Linked DNA regions of Styela clava. The protein of the gene in region 2 purifies or fractionates together with the protein of the main gene of each other region. This does not show direct contact. Links are inferred from orthologs where the notes say so. Each region holds a gene or a part of one and is shown on either strand. Other genes may lie near its edges.

Region 1 (7,172 bases), on a different chromosome or scaffold from region 2:
CATATCCCTTTGCTCATATCTGCGACATGTTCTTGCATCCATGATGATGATGCGACTTGAAAAAAACAGTATATCATGAGCAAAAGATAAAAAAAAAAAAATTTTTATATTTATCCCGGAGAAAAAAAGAAGGCGGAAGGGCAAACTAAAGTATCTGAAATCAAATGAATTATGCCAAAAAAGATGTAAAACGTTCATTTAAAATGTGCCTGCTTATCAATCAGAAAACCAATAATAACAGACCAAAGCAACCTTGAAAATCAAAAAATGCTTCAATTTTAAAGGCGGAGCACTTTGCTTTCATAGTCAAAATTACAATTGAATTTTAAAATTTCTTACAAAACTCAGAACAGCAAAAATATAACATATAATCCTGATAAATTAATGATAAAAGATAATCTGGGGTTCTATAAATTTACGACAAATAAACAATATATATATATAGTTACCTTCACAAATGCTAGTAAACGCATGATTTACAAGACAGTAATTTACTGTAACATGAAACAAAAATGCAAGTAGAGCACCAGGTAAAAGTCGCCCTGCATGAATCTCTGGCTGTTCAATCAATCTAAAATAAAAAGATACAGATCATGAGTTTGAAAATTTTGAATACTTAGTTATCATTAAATACATAACATCAACTATATCTATTACAGTTCAGTTTCAGACAAAGAAAATGTTTGATAATAGTCCAATTGAACTGTATGAAAAATGAGGATTATATAATATATGTCAAATTTCAATTTTGTTGTTAAAATAGACTAAATAGGTACCTAATATACTAGAATGCCAGCAACAACAAATATATATGCCAAACATAAGTAGGTATAAATTAATAATTACCTTTCAATTGCTTCCTTGAAAATAAATACAGCTCCCAATTGAGCAATGACAACAGAAGAAAATACTCCAAGAACCTCAATGCGTTCAAATCCCAGTGTATATGTATTATGTGAGTTAGATTTTGTTCTCTGATTTTGCAATAAAGACCATGATGATAATATGTAAGTGACCAGTCCAAGAAGTTCAAACATGGTTATGTAATTGTAGGAGCGCAAAGCTGAAAAAAATAATTACAAACCTTGTAACAAATAACACTAAATTCCAAACTACGATATCAGAGGAAAGAATACATGTTTATAAGCGTTATATTTTCGTAACGAATTTGTTAGGAATTATTTGTATTATAGGTTAATAAATGAGAAAAGCAAATATGCTATTTCAATGGTGGTACCTTTGAAGGAATTCCCACTATAAGTTTTGGTAAAAATGCAATGTATGGATGTATCGCATACAACTCCCTGGACTCTATTTTAGGAGTATAAATATTACCTGGGAAGATACTTACCTAGACTATTGGTTGATGAAGACCACATACTTAAGCACATGATAACTAGGCAGTTGATAAAAATAAAAAACGCAGCAACTCGAACATTTCTTCTCGTTAATAATAATCGAAACTCTTCTTGAAATTGTCCAAGTACAGTTGAATGAGATTTATGAAATGGATGAATTGTACCCTGGGAATGAAAACTATATTTGAATATCATAATCGGGATGTAGCATGTATTAGAATTTGCCATAGTTCTGTTTTGAATCATGAAATGGTAACAAATAGAATATACACATTATTCAATTAAAATTTCTCACCGATATAAGAGGCTTGCGAGTCCCCTTTCCAGTTAAATCAAGATCTGAAAATAAAAACAGGAGTTAGGTAAAAAACTAGGACCATGTCAAAATGCAAACTTAATCAAATCAAATATGATCATTTTTGAATACCCAGGAAATCTTCCTATTTCTGTATTTCATTACATGATTTAGACCCATCAACTCGACACAATTATTTCATTAGGAAAAATTAATGGCTATGTCAATATGAAATTATTTCAGGTAGCTTAGTAACATTTCTTCATCGAATGATGGTGAGTCCTAATACAATATCGCAATACTTCCGTAATGAGATTAATAATGTAGAGCAGATGCAAAGTCAAAGAAATCTTAATTCTGTAATTACCATACATATACCAGTATATACAGATATAACTACACAAAGTCATGAATCTGTAAAATTGCTAGTACAGTAGTACGTTATTATTAGTACGCACTAATTCTGTATTTACTTATTTATAAGCTACCATATAGCTTAGTATTAACAAAGAAACATGCAAATGTTTTGAATGTACAGATGTTGGGTCTCGTGTAGTTTCGTACCTAACATACTTCTAGTGGGCGTAGCATGACAATTTTTTCATGTGTCAATCCTAACCCCCACCTGACGACACCATCTAATAATTACGTCACTACGATGTCACAGTGACATAATGGAGCCCTTCAAACTATACCAACTGCCATCAAAGACGCGCAGACGAGCACCCGAAATCGAACAGCTATTTTTCTCGCTTTCTCGTCGCAACGATTCCAATATGAAAGAGATCAATAACGTCAGTCAATTCTTTATCGTCAGCGCCGATGCCATTTCGGACGATCGTACGTATATTCGGCAAGCTCTATGACGTGACTGTGATGTCGTAGTGACATAATTTTCGGATGGCATAGTCAGATGGGAGTTAGGATTGACATATCAAAATATTGTTATGCTACGCCCACTAGAAGTATGTTAGGTACGAAACTACACGAGACCCCAGATGTCTGGATGTAGGCCTAGTCTATGAGATTGATAGAACAAATAATGAATTACAGGTTTACAATACCTGAATACAGTCTCGGTATAGCCTACCGTACAATACCGTACTATAAAACCTAATTATGAGTTAAATACAGAAACATTCCAGCATACACTTAGACATTAGGTACCAGTACCGGTACCGTACGTACCTGACTCAGGATCAAGCAAGAGCGAAATATAATCTCCATGTTGCATCTCTGGAACACTACGAACATCCGATTTTTGTCCATGTGAAAAAAATTTAGCTTGTTCAGGGAGCATTTTCTTTGAAATGTGCCCCAATCGCTTCTGCTTCTTCTCGGGTCGGGTCTAATGCAGGATGCTACAGGCAGACAGGCTAGAGTAAGGAGCTTTACTCGAATACCGTGGCTTCTGTTTCAAATTCAGACCATGAAGCCAAGGGAAATGAAAGCTCTGCACGGAGTCAACTGAATATTTGAATCTAACCAAATATAGAGGACTTGCACGGGTCACGTGATTTTGTTACTGGACGGCAATGAAACAAAAACGTCCATAAAGCTCCTCTCTAGGCTTGCACGTAATTTACGGATTTACGGAATTACGGAATTATTTCGAGTTACGGAAGCGAAGTTACGAATTACGTAAATGCGTAATTATTGGTGGAGCGCTTTCGCGATTGAAACGAGCTCTCTTTAGAGCAGTCAATTCCGTCGATTGTAAAAAATTAAAGTTTAAAAAGTAGAAGAAGTTAGAGTTCCGGTATTCGCAGCCGTTTTTCTCTCTCTTGTTATGCAGATGGAGAAGGCATAACGTGTTGCCATTTACTAATCTATTATCAACTTATCTAGCATGGCAAATGTACATATTAAGCGTAGATATGGGATAGAATTGTGTCGAGACCGATGGACGCCAACACACCTGGTTTCAACTTCTTCGGGTGAAATGACTAAAGAATGTAAGAGACAACTTACCAAACATGGTCTATTTGTAAATGCCGTGATAATTAATGTCGCGCTTATCAAACAGCAATATGACGACGGAAGAGAAATTGCGTAATGAACCAACGCAACTTAGTCTTTTCGGCATCGGTAAAGCGATTCAGACGGCAGAGAAACAACAAAAAGACGGGATTTCCCATGTTTATACTGCGCGAGAGCCATTTTCTATTACAAAATCTTGATGTTCTGTTACCGGTTTTATCGTTATATATCTGTCCGGACTTGGCCTTGTTTTCACAATGCCTCGCACTATTTCGGCCAAATATGTCTTTACAATATCTTTAAGTCTTTACCAAATGCGGCAACTTATTTTGATTTATCGTCGACTCAAATACCACCGGCACTCGACCAAACTTGTGTCGACTTGAGTTAGAAAAGTAAATTAATATTTTCGTGAGTGCAAAATAAATGTCACCAAATGCATTGTTTTGCGATATAACTTTGTATTTTCGGAGAAGGCATGTCATATAAGTACGGTATTTAAATTATGCGCAAATAATTAATATTTGATATAAATTTATCGCAAATAATGTTATAACATTTAGGCCGCGAAATAATTTAATGTAAAATGAAGCATGGTAATCGGAATATCGTAAATAAGTCGGCATCAATAATTATTATAAAATGCTAACTAGGTAGTAAAGTCGGATAATGTAAAAAAACGGTACAATAACAAGTCTTCGTCGCGAGGCAAGCGCAAGTATAATCAAACGAGAGAATACGCTCGTCGTTGATTTATAAATTAGAAACCCGGAATTTTTAGTTAATACGAAACTCGTATTAATACGTTAATATGATTTAAAAAAAGTCAACTATCGTTTCATAAATATATTACCACTTACCAGTGTTGGTAATGATAAAATTGATCACATAAAATTGGGTGATAAAGTTGATAAAGGAAAATCAAAGCTAACACAAAAGACAAAAATCAGAATAAAATTAATTTGAATTCACTCCTTGATATTTGTCTTTAGCATCTGTCGCTGGCGTGTAGTACTGGCGGAAATATGAAAACCAAACTGTCCCAACTGTCGATGTCCCATTCGGAATAGAAGTGGATTAAATTGGTTGTTATGATAGGTTTAAAAGTGTGAAAAAAATATCGCAATTACGGGGTCATTACGTAATCGATTTGGCCGTAATTACGGAATTGATTTTTGTCAATTACGTGCAAACCTAAGCTCCTGTCAGTTGCAAGTCGGATTATACGTTTCCGTTTTGTTTGGCTGTTGAAAATGGTTATTTCGTATTGTTCCGCTGGCTGTACTTAGAGTATAGACAACGAAATGGATCTTCAGTTATATTCCACTGTTTTCAAAAGATCCGGAACGTCGCGCAATGTGGATATCTATCTATTGGCAGGACTGCTTGGTGTCAAGTTCAGAAGCCATCTCACTTGTGTTTCACTGTTTGCGGACAGCACTTCGTTGATGGTAAGTCATAATGTGCCGTTATCAATTTTTTGAATATTCATAAGCTCCCTCATTTCAATGGAAAGCAGATGACAAACTACTGTTATTGGTAGGCCTAGGCGTAGGCCGACTTGCAGACTTGACTCGTGTAAGATATTATTAGGTATTGTTTCCCTAGTTAGCAGGTAATCTATTAGTAAGTGTGAAAAGTTGAATAGATAACTAAAGTTTAACGCCAGTGCTAATGCAAAAAATAACCAGAATTCAATTGAATTCCCCATCTAAGAATACGCTCGCCACCGCATCTCTGATCCCCCTTGGAGTTTCACAGGTTCCAATCCCATGCGGGGATAGTTATGTGCGAGGGGATTGCAGCTCTCCTCCCATTGAGGGTGGTTCACACGACCGCTGGTCGATTACGACATCCCCCGCCACAATGTTCCCTCTAATTTTTTGTAGTATGTGTGCGCAGAAATTTTGGTGTGCGCGCACTTTTTTGGAAATGACTAATATTTGTGCAAAACCAATGAAGAAATTTTGGCGTTCTAACCGGGTAATAAGTGGGCCAACAACAAACTTTCTCAACCTGCCAACCGAGAACATTGTTACATTACATCGAAATACGTCTGTGCGCTGTAAATCTATGCGTGTGCGCAGCCTCTGAAAGCTGTGTGCGCGCGCACACGCGCACACCTTAGAGGGAACACTGCGGCCCGCCATCAAGTCCAAGCTTCTAAAACAAATTACTGGCTAACTAATCCCGACATAGAATGGTAATCGTACAATGTTGCACCTTGCAATCTGTCCCCAACCACAGATAAATTCTATCCTAAAAACTACTCACATTGGTAGGCATAGTTGCGTTTTAAAATGAAAGAAATCTTCATTAATGGTCAGAAGGTGTTTTCTGATTGTTTTGTTATTTAGCAGGTAATTTATTACTGATCTGATACACAAACTTGGCACTGTCAAATGATGCTTAGTGTTTAATTTATTTTCAGGAAAAAGGGAAGATAACCCATTATCAGCTGCTTATATGTCCCATCGATATTTGAATTTTCGCCATCCCCAGAGAGGAAGAGAATAGTTAGAAAAAGGGGGATTTTGAAGAAAGGCAAAAGGCAGGACCATTTCAACAAATTCTGTTAACTTGTATGCGTTGCAATATTAATTTGCAGTTGTTAGCATAAACATTTAATGTGTCTTTCGACTAGACCTACCACACTTTAAAAAAGCCGCCTACACTCCTTTTCACTAGAACCATAATACTGTAAAATATTTGATAGAAATTACCCCCGAGGCATCATATCTTCCATTTGAAAGGGCTGTGGAGGCAGATACATTATTTACTCTGAATTATGGAATGTTACTTCCAGGTTATCTTATCCTTGCTTATATATATCTTGAGGTTAGTGACTCCAACTAACCCATGCATGCCACACTAAAAATTCTCTTGTGTACCCATAAAAAAAGGCTGTTGGAGCCTTCAGACCTTGAAAACAGTCGAATCTGAGCACGATGGATTCATGTGAAACACGTAATATGCATTTAGAGGCAAAATATCCCATCCTGAGCAGCACCGATCCACAACCTCCTGCCTATGGAATCAAAACATTAGACAAATTGGTGTACTGTGCGTATTCACAAATTTTTGCGAATCAAGTGTGCGTTTTGACTAAATAAAATTTAGCATTGAAATGGTCAATCTCAATATCAACCTAGTATCTGCAGATAAAACCAATTGTTTTTAAAAAATACATTTTTGATGTGCTTTATTTTTCAAATATAATTTATAATTACTGTAAAATGTGTGATACATTTGGTACCATGAATACCATTTGCAAATTAGCTTGGGTTACACCCCTCTCAAATAAAAGATTAGACTCTTAAGTCATATCTCATAATATTGTTTAAACAAAAGGTTGCGGCTACCCATCAGAATTTTCTTTCAGATCACAAAGTCGCAATATTACGCCTCGCTAAGTTTCATTGGCAACTGTATCTGGTTGTAGTATCGGTGTCCAACGTTAGACTAAAACCTTCACTACCAGACCCACCGAAACAATTTTTTTTCTTTTCTTGATAGGGTCGTCTTGAAGTTGCTTTCGT
Region 2 (8,195 bases):
TGACGTAATAACTAATAATAGGCCTTTTCGCATCCGCTTAGATACTTTTATTTGTCACCCTGACAGATTTTCAGTCGTGGTTGTAAACAATACTTCCTTTTTTGCGATGCGTACATTTTTTGGAGCGAAAAAGCGGATTTTGTAACATCCCTAATTCACGACTGCAACGTTTTGATAACAGCTAAACTCAGGATAGTTGTCTAGATATAGAAATCTTGTATACTTGTTTTCTTAGTATGTTCTCGAATCATATTCTGCGATACAGGTATAGATAGAATTTAATATTCGAGTCTTCAGAAATATAGCATATATATTGTTGAATAAATTGAATCGATTTCCCAACTTTTGTGAATTTATTGCGTTGCATTGACAAAAATATTTGTCCGGCCCGTTTTAACACAGTTTGAGTCATATCCGGCTCGTGGTCAAAAAAGTTTGGTGACCCCTGGCCTAATAGATCAGAATATGTTTCATTGAGCATTGCATGAATGTGTATATTGGGAAGAAAAGTATAAAGACTAAACTTTTTATTGTAAAAGCAGCCAGTGTTGGTTACAAATTTCTAAACACTGAGCAAGGTAGAGTTGTTGAATCGTTGAGCTAAGTCTTACTGTCAAGTAGAGTTCGAGTCTGTGATAAATGGTGACTCGAACCAAACTCAATACCTCTGCCTACTTCTGTATTATATTGATACACAGGGGAGTAGCAGGGGGGGATTGGGTTTCCCCCCTCCTTTTTCAAATAAGAAAAAAATAGACCCTCGAGACTTTTGAAAACCCATGTTTTCTGACCTTCGGTCGTACCTGCTAGCTGATTCAATCTAATCCCTCCCTTCAAAATGCCTGGGATGCTACGAATCCCGAGTATTTGGGCAGTCTGCGATTGACTATCGCGTGATGTATGATGTCACAGACTTGGGTAAAATCATCAAAGGCTCGGGCCGAATCGAGTATCAAATTAAGAGAGATTTGGCCACGAATCCGAAGCTTGTCGCATTCCTACTGGCTATGCACCAGTTGATACAATCTTTGCACGCGATACCCTGGAAACCGGATGAAAGGTTGTTGTTCGCCATATGATTAAAAGCCATCTTATCGGCTTTCCACTAGCACAGGATAAATATGTAAATCCTATCCTTATAAAAATGTGGTTGGTATTAACATTACTCACCAAGCTTTAACAAAAAATAAAAAATACACAAGGTGGACGACTTTCAATAAATCATAACATTCAAAAAGTCCGATGCAACGAATCATCTTCACAACCATCAAAAGGAGTCCATGCTTCCCAAGACTGTAAAAAAAAATGCACAACAAGTTTATTTTTAGACACACAGTTTTGAAGAAGGGGAGCCTCTGGAAAGCAAAGTTAGTTATCAAGCGCAACACCAATGGAATAGTTACTTGTAAACTAATATCTGTGATAGGCCAGGTAACTCTCGCACCTTCATGGCACAGATTGCAAAATTGGAAGTCTTTGCGATTTTCTAATTCAATTATATGTTTGTTTTGTGTCTTTATTGCTTTCCAAGACTGTAAAAAAGGAAGCATAAACTACAGACATAGCAAGTTTATTTTCCCCAGCCAGTACAATAAAAACAATGGCATATAAAACAAGAGAGCTACGCACAAATATATGGACACGTTAGACCAGAGCGAATCAGTTCTTACCGGTACCTTTGACGCTATCGGTACCCTCAAAAAAGTTCTGAATTTCCAGTAGCAAGAATTTTGCAGAATCAAAACGTACAGCCAGTCATGACACTGACTAAAATCCGTGTTCCCATGGATAAAAAATAATACAGCAAATATCAAATTTCATAGAATTCACGCAAAATTTTGAAAAAAATAAAAGTAATAGCCTTCTAGCGAAAAAATTAATCTTTAACCACTGAAAATTTCAAAGCAATTGGTCCAGTATTCGAAGAGAAAAGCGACTTTTTGAAAACGTGTCAAAGAACAACAACAACAACAACAACAACAGAATATTGAAACGATCGTTATGTCCACTACGTGTCCAACAATGAGAAAAGAACACAAGATTTTACTGGGGATGGAAAGCATCTGGAAACCAAAGCTGGTTGTTGAATGCAACAACGATGTAATAGTTGTAATGTTGAAACGCCAATATTCCCATCCCCGTAATATTCCCATCCTTTAAGTTTTGAATAATGGTAGCTAAATATTAGCAGTATTGGGCGTGGATTTTTGGTGGGTTTTGCAAGAATCTTGGTGTTTTTTGACAGTGTTTGGTGGTTTCTCATGGTTTTTGCACAGTTTTTCAAATAATAGCTCTTTACATACTGCTATATATAGCAGTGCTCCGCAACCTTTTTTAACTTGCGGCACACTTATAAATCTTGCCAAATTCGACGGCACACCACAACAAACGGAAAAACAAAGTGTAACTTCGTTTTATGTTTATATTTCAATGAGAGATTTGTGGTTGTTTCAATGAGCACAATACGTGAAAGAGCAACTCGAAGTTCGCCGTCAACATCTTTTATACAGGATCGTTTATCATTTTTGATCAGTAATAAAGAGGAAAAGCTTTGTTCGCACACATGAGTTGTGCAAAACCGGAGCAATATTTCAATAGCTGCATTTGAATGTGCTTATATTTTTCTTTTATTGAAATCCTAAATACATCAAGTGGAATTTCGCCGAATTTCAGTTTTAGCGTTCTGTCATTTCTTACTTCAAACAAATTTTCTCGAATACGCAGGGGTAATTCTTTCGTTAAGCTCAAGTTTTATTTATATTCTATTACTACACATGCTATGTTTTATCCTTGACAGTAGGCTTTGCAATATATCTGCTTGATATATAGGCCTATTCCTTGTTACGTCACAAATACACAGTGGGGAAGTCAGGAATTTGAATTGGTGTCGCTCAAGCTAACGTAAAAGCAGGTTAACTTTACGTTAGTAGAGTAGTAGACTCTAACGTAAAATTAACAAAGGATAAAAAGAAATTTGTAAATAGAATGGAAAAGTTGCAATTCTTGTGCGGCACACCTGGCATCGTCTCGCGGCACACCGATGCGCCGCGGCACACCGGTTGCGGAGCACTGATATATAGGATCTCATTCAGAGTGAAAGGCGTGGTAATGAGCATTGTATAGAAGAATTAATAGTTTTGTAACTCACCTTTCCCTTGCTGCAGCAGTAATTCTGCCGAGATCATCATTCTCATTCATGCTGACTCATACGTAACTAATATTTAATACTTTAATGAATAGAATACTGAACAAAATAGGTGGTATTTCAATGAGTGTGGAAAAAAATTACAAAAAATTTGAATAGACAAACACAAAGAAAAAATAAGTAGGTGCAACGGCTTATTGGTTAAGATGCTAGACTCATGTGGGCATAGCGAGTTTGAATTTTTGAAGCTAAAACTTGATGTACAGCACCTCAGTAACGGGGTAGAATTACCGTAATCAGTAGAATTTTGATATTTCTGAAAAATATACCGCATATACTCGTGAATAGGTCACGCTTTTAAACCAAAAATGTATCAAATCAGAGGTGCAACTCATCCATTCGTCAATAAAAGATTATTATATTTTTGAGAAATTGAAACTGCCCAAAACGAAAAAATGCTGCAGATCACAGCTTCTGTGTGAGTATATAGGCCTTATAGGGTGTCCATAAAGTCCCTTTACGATTTCACTTTTGTTATGAAGTCGGTTCTCAAGATATCTTAACGAGGTTTGTTTAAGTATTTCAATTCATTTAATACATCTGTGAGGTCCAAAACAATATCTGGTATGGATAAATTCCCTTTGCATTTTTAAAAAAAATTCAAGATTTTGTGGACACCTTAGAAAGCATGAGGTTAAAGTTTAAACAGAATTCACAATGGAAAATCAATGAAACGTGATCACTCAGAATAATCTCATTTAAATGGGGAGAGTGGATGCTGCTTTATTATGCTTCTGTGCATTTTATTGTCAAATCGTACAAAAGGGACCTAAATACCAATTAAAAGTTTAATATTTTTATGCTAATTTGAAAGATTTACAATTAAAATTTTTGCTTTGAAATTAACTTTCAAATATTGTAAACAGTTTCGATTTTGTAGCCAAAATCACATTAAAATTTCTCCTCTATCATGAGTTAACTTTTAAGTAAAAAATGAATATTTTATGAAAAAAAAGCGATTCACATATCCCAATCCTAAGAAATAACTTAATATTCGTGAACATTATGAGAAATAAATACAAAGAAAGTACAAAAAAAAGACTCCCAACACCACACCAAATGACATCAACGAAGTTGGAATAAAATTGCAAAGTAATAATAGTATAACGTCATAAAAAATTACGGACTCTGTCAACTTAGGCAGTGTGGAATTCATTCAAAGGTTGTAGACAGGCAGGACTAAATTGTTAATAATAGCTTCATAATTATGATTGGCTGATTGCAGAGTCAACAGTAGACACAAGTAAGCTTGCAGAGAATACTGAGGAATACGGTAAACTTATTTCAAACTGAGCATTTCACAATAAGACATGGATGACTAAAACTGCGTAACATACATTTCTAATACATTATTATTGTTGTCAAATATAGAATAGGATTTACATATTCATCCCAGAAAGAAAGACGGGAAAACTACTTAATCATTTGGCCAAACACATAGCGAATCATATAGCGAACCACAGTCTCCCATCGGATACCAGTGCATGTGGAGTATGGGATTATTAGGCCAGGTACTTATTTTTTAAAACATGGACTTGTATACATCCTAAATCAGGAGTTGGAACATGGTCAAACGTGGAAGAGTTACGAAAAGTGTTTTGATTATCTATTTTTATGATTTTCAAATGAATGATTCTAAATTATGCCTAAATTCAATATTTTAAAATATAGAACATAAAATTAATTCTGCATCAGTTAGAATACCCCATTCATTTTATTTTTAGACATCCAGGAGATCCAAAAATGATACGCTGTAATGACTTTCAAGATGACTTACTGTAAATGTTGATGACGTACAATAATGAAACCATGAAGCAGATACAAAATAAGAACTTACGAGAGCTAGAAAATCAAATATAAATACTAAAAAATTGTCAACAAACAAATGTAATTTGAAATGATATAAATTATTTTATATAAAGGGTTCGAGAACTACTAAGCAAATTGTTGTAATCATTAATCAATACAGCAAACATGTTCAAGGAATTCAATATGCACTTTGTCATCACTGGGGCAGAGCAGTAAAAAATGTGTACAAAGTCCAGAATTACAATGGGAATAAGATTCTTTTTTTCTGAAAACACCATCACCATGATTTTAATACAACAAAAGTCTAAAAATTTAACAGTAAAATGAATTATTTTGATTATTTGAAATCTTAGAATACATTTCACATACATGCACTTTAAGCAAATATTTTTAATTATTCAAATTCTAATCAAATTTCGTCAAAGATTATCTGGAATTCATAAAAGTAGCTTCAACAATAAACAACGTATTATTCAACCAATAATCATTTAAATGTGTCTAGAGCAGGGTGGTTCAAACCCAGGCCCGGGGGCCACATGTGGCCCGCCACTTCATTACCTGTGGCCCGCGTCGCATTCGGAGAAAAATCAAAAAATCGCATTTCGTGTTGTTCGTCATAAAATTAACCAAAAATTCTTTTGACATTGTTGCATCACTAATGTCACTGAATTGACTAGTGTTATGGCTTGCTGAGGCAACTAGCGAAGTTAAAGTTCTTGGCACTATTGTGGCCCGCGAACAATGCAAAAGTAATTTTGTGGCCCGCGAAGCTGCCAATCTTGTACCACCCTGATCTAGAGTCTGGACTTATATTTCTAGGGCCCAAGTAATATTAATTTAAAATCCTCAACATAGATTATTGATTTTGCAGCCTACATAACACAAAATTGGGGATTCAAGTTCGATTCAAACTCCTTGCAGGAATCAATGGAGCATGGTAGCCAGAATAATGATGTCATAATGGATGGGAAGCAGATAATAATATTTAACAAAGGTTACCAAAGTAAACAAGATCCAAAAATGATATAAATATATTAGTACAATGTCATAAAGCTTCAATATCACCGTAGAAGTTTTTTGTTGATAATTTCCCATACCATGGCTCGCCGAAAGTAAGGCATATCTCGTTGGGAAAATGTTAAGTCTGATTTAGAAGTAATATACTCTGCAAATTTGCAAGCAAAGACTCCACAATCTGATCCATTCATTTGTTGCGGTATATCAGACATTGACAACAGTTGCCAGTCAGAAAGATTGATCTCTGATCCTTTTTTATTCTTGTGCTCACAAAGAAGATAATTTTTTAGGATTTCAAGGCATTCCCGATTGGCTCCACCCATTGAATCATAATATCTTATTTGTTTCGATATGAAATCAACGACAGCTAGACACCAATGCACGCCAAGATGTATTGGATACAGAACGATGTCTTTGGAAAATATATCAACTTTTTTTGTCCACCGACGTACTGATGTATAAGATTGCGTACTCAATCGGGGATAAAAGAATGTATTCATGGAATGTACTGCGGGGTAATCTTTTACATCTTTAGAGCGCTGGACAATCAATTCCATATAAAAATTTATAATTTCATCATTAAGCCAATTTAGACCGAACAAAGTCGACATGTGCTCGCGGGTTATTGAAATGTTGAAACACTCAGAAAGGACTTGATTTGGAGGATATGGAACTAGTGCTTTGTTTATGTGTTCGCTCATGTCGGAAGTCAGCTCAGGAAGTGTGGGTTGTTCGATAATCTTTTTTTCTTGGAGTTTTAATTTGTTGTGTAAAATTTCAGCCAGAAGTGCATCTTTCTCTTCACGTTTCTCGTGCCAAAGTCGGGCTCGTGTTTCTTCAGCACGTGTTTGAGCTTGCCTCTGACGAACTCGACGATTGTATGTCTTTAACATGTCAGGAACGAAATTTTGTGACAAATATGGGGAAGAAAACTCTTTCAAAATCTGGCTTCTCTTTATACTATCATTGAGAGTGGTTTCAGTTTGACTTTCGGCACCATTTGTTAGAATTAAAGGCTTCGGATGCTGAATTATAATGTTATCGAGTTCCTTTAATTTTTCCCGCAACATCGGAGCTTTTTTATCAACATTTTCGTCACGTTTTGTCTCATTTTTATTTGTCAAATCAATTATACTAACGTTGAGGTTTCTTTTCGCTTGCTTCATAGGTGTTCTAATTTTGTCATCGTTACTAAACAATGAAGGAGCTGGTTTTGTTGTCGTAGACCTATATTGTTCAATCAATCTTCGATACTGTTCTCGTTGATCTAGAGACGAACAGCGAAATACTTCGAGACTGCGACGCTTTGATGTTCTTTGTTTCATGATCCTGCTAAAACGTTTGCTTGGTGAATTTGCAAAGCCAAAAGCTTTATCATACAACGAAACCCCTGCAGTCCGTTGCATAAATCTAGAATAAGCATGAGTTCTCATTGAACTTGACGGCCTGGAACTTTTTAATCGTATGGAATCCCGCACCGAAATTTCAGGTAACTGGGGCACTACTGGCTGTTTTCCCATCACGGGCCGTTTCATAGGAGTCGTAGCCCTTTTAGGAGTTTCCGATAACAACTGAAGTCGCCCTAATCAGCAGTAAACGGATGTTTAACGTCAAGCATATACAGGTAAGCTGTACTGGAATATTTCCCAAAACTAAATTATTGCATGCCAGAATTTGAATGTAAACATATTCAAAAAAATATAATATTCAATTTATACGTGATTTAAACTGCGAAATATTCATTTAATAACATATAAAAAAGATTTGAAAATTATAATGTATGAATATCCAGCATTGAACAATTTATAATTGGAATACTCAAAATAAAATTCTAATGTGTGGGTATTTCTGGTAAGTATTATAAAATCTTGACGTCACTCAATTTTCGCTACAACGAATAATTCTAAATGCATTCATGCATGACATATGTTCTTTATCGCCAACTCGCGTATGTATTTTTATACAATAAAAGTATATTTATCCGGGGGGGGGGGGGGGGGGGAGGGAAACCAATAAGACGGCTCAACTATATTGCAAACCACGGTCTCTTGTCCGGTTATCATTACATGTCGGGTATGGGATTAGTTAGTTATTTGTTTTCGGAAGCATGGACTTGATGGTGGAGAAAGCCTAACCGACCAGAGGTTACGTGAACCACGCCATA

The links.
Region 1: the proteins of proton-coupled zinc antiporter SLC30A5-like (region 2) and zinc transporter 6-like purify together in Homo sapiens (co-immunoprecipitation; 5 studies listed by BioGRID and IntAct, with this or other methods). This does not show direct contact. The link is inferred for Styela clava from reciprocal best matches to the Homo sapiens genes SLC30A5 and SLC30A6.

What each region holds. Positions count from the first base shown.
Region 1 is NC_135253.1:6,834,709-6,841,880, reverse strand, and holds the start of zinc transporter 6-like, read right to left. Parts: upstream 3,187-7,172; 5' UTR 2,954-3,186; coding exon 2,842-2,953; intron 1,698-2,841; coding exon 1,654-1,697; intron 1,524-1,653; coding exon 1,352-1,523; intron 1,064-1,351; coding exon 847-1,063; intron 572-846; coding exon 450-571; intron 56-449; coding exon 1-55. UniProt on the Homo sapiens protein: Has probably no intrinsic transporter activity but together with SLC30A5 forms a functional zinc ion:proton antiporter heterodimer, mediating zinc entry into the lumen of organelles along the secretory pathway.
Region 2 is NC_135256.1:4,828,623-4,836,817, reverse strand, and holds the start of proton-coupled zinc antiporter SLC30A5-like, read right to left. Parts: upstream 3,255-8,195; 5' UTR 3,199-3,254; coding exon 3,149-3,198; intron 1,294-3,148; coding exon 1,171-1,293; intron 1-1,170. Other genes in the region: sentrin-specific protease 1-like, read right to left, coding at 6,076-7,566. UniProt on the Homo sapiens protein: Together with SLC30A6 forms a functional proton-coupled zinc ion antiporter mediating zinc entry into the lumen of organelles along the secretory pathway.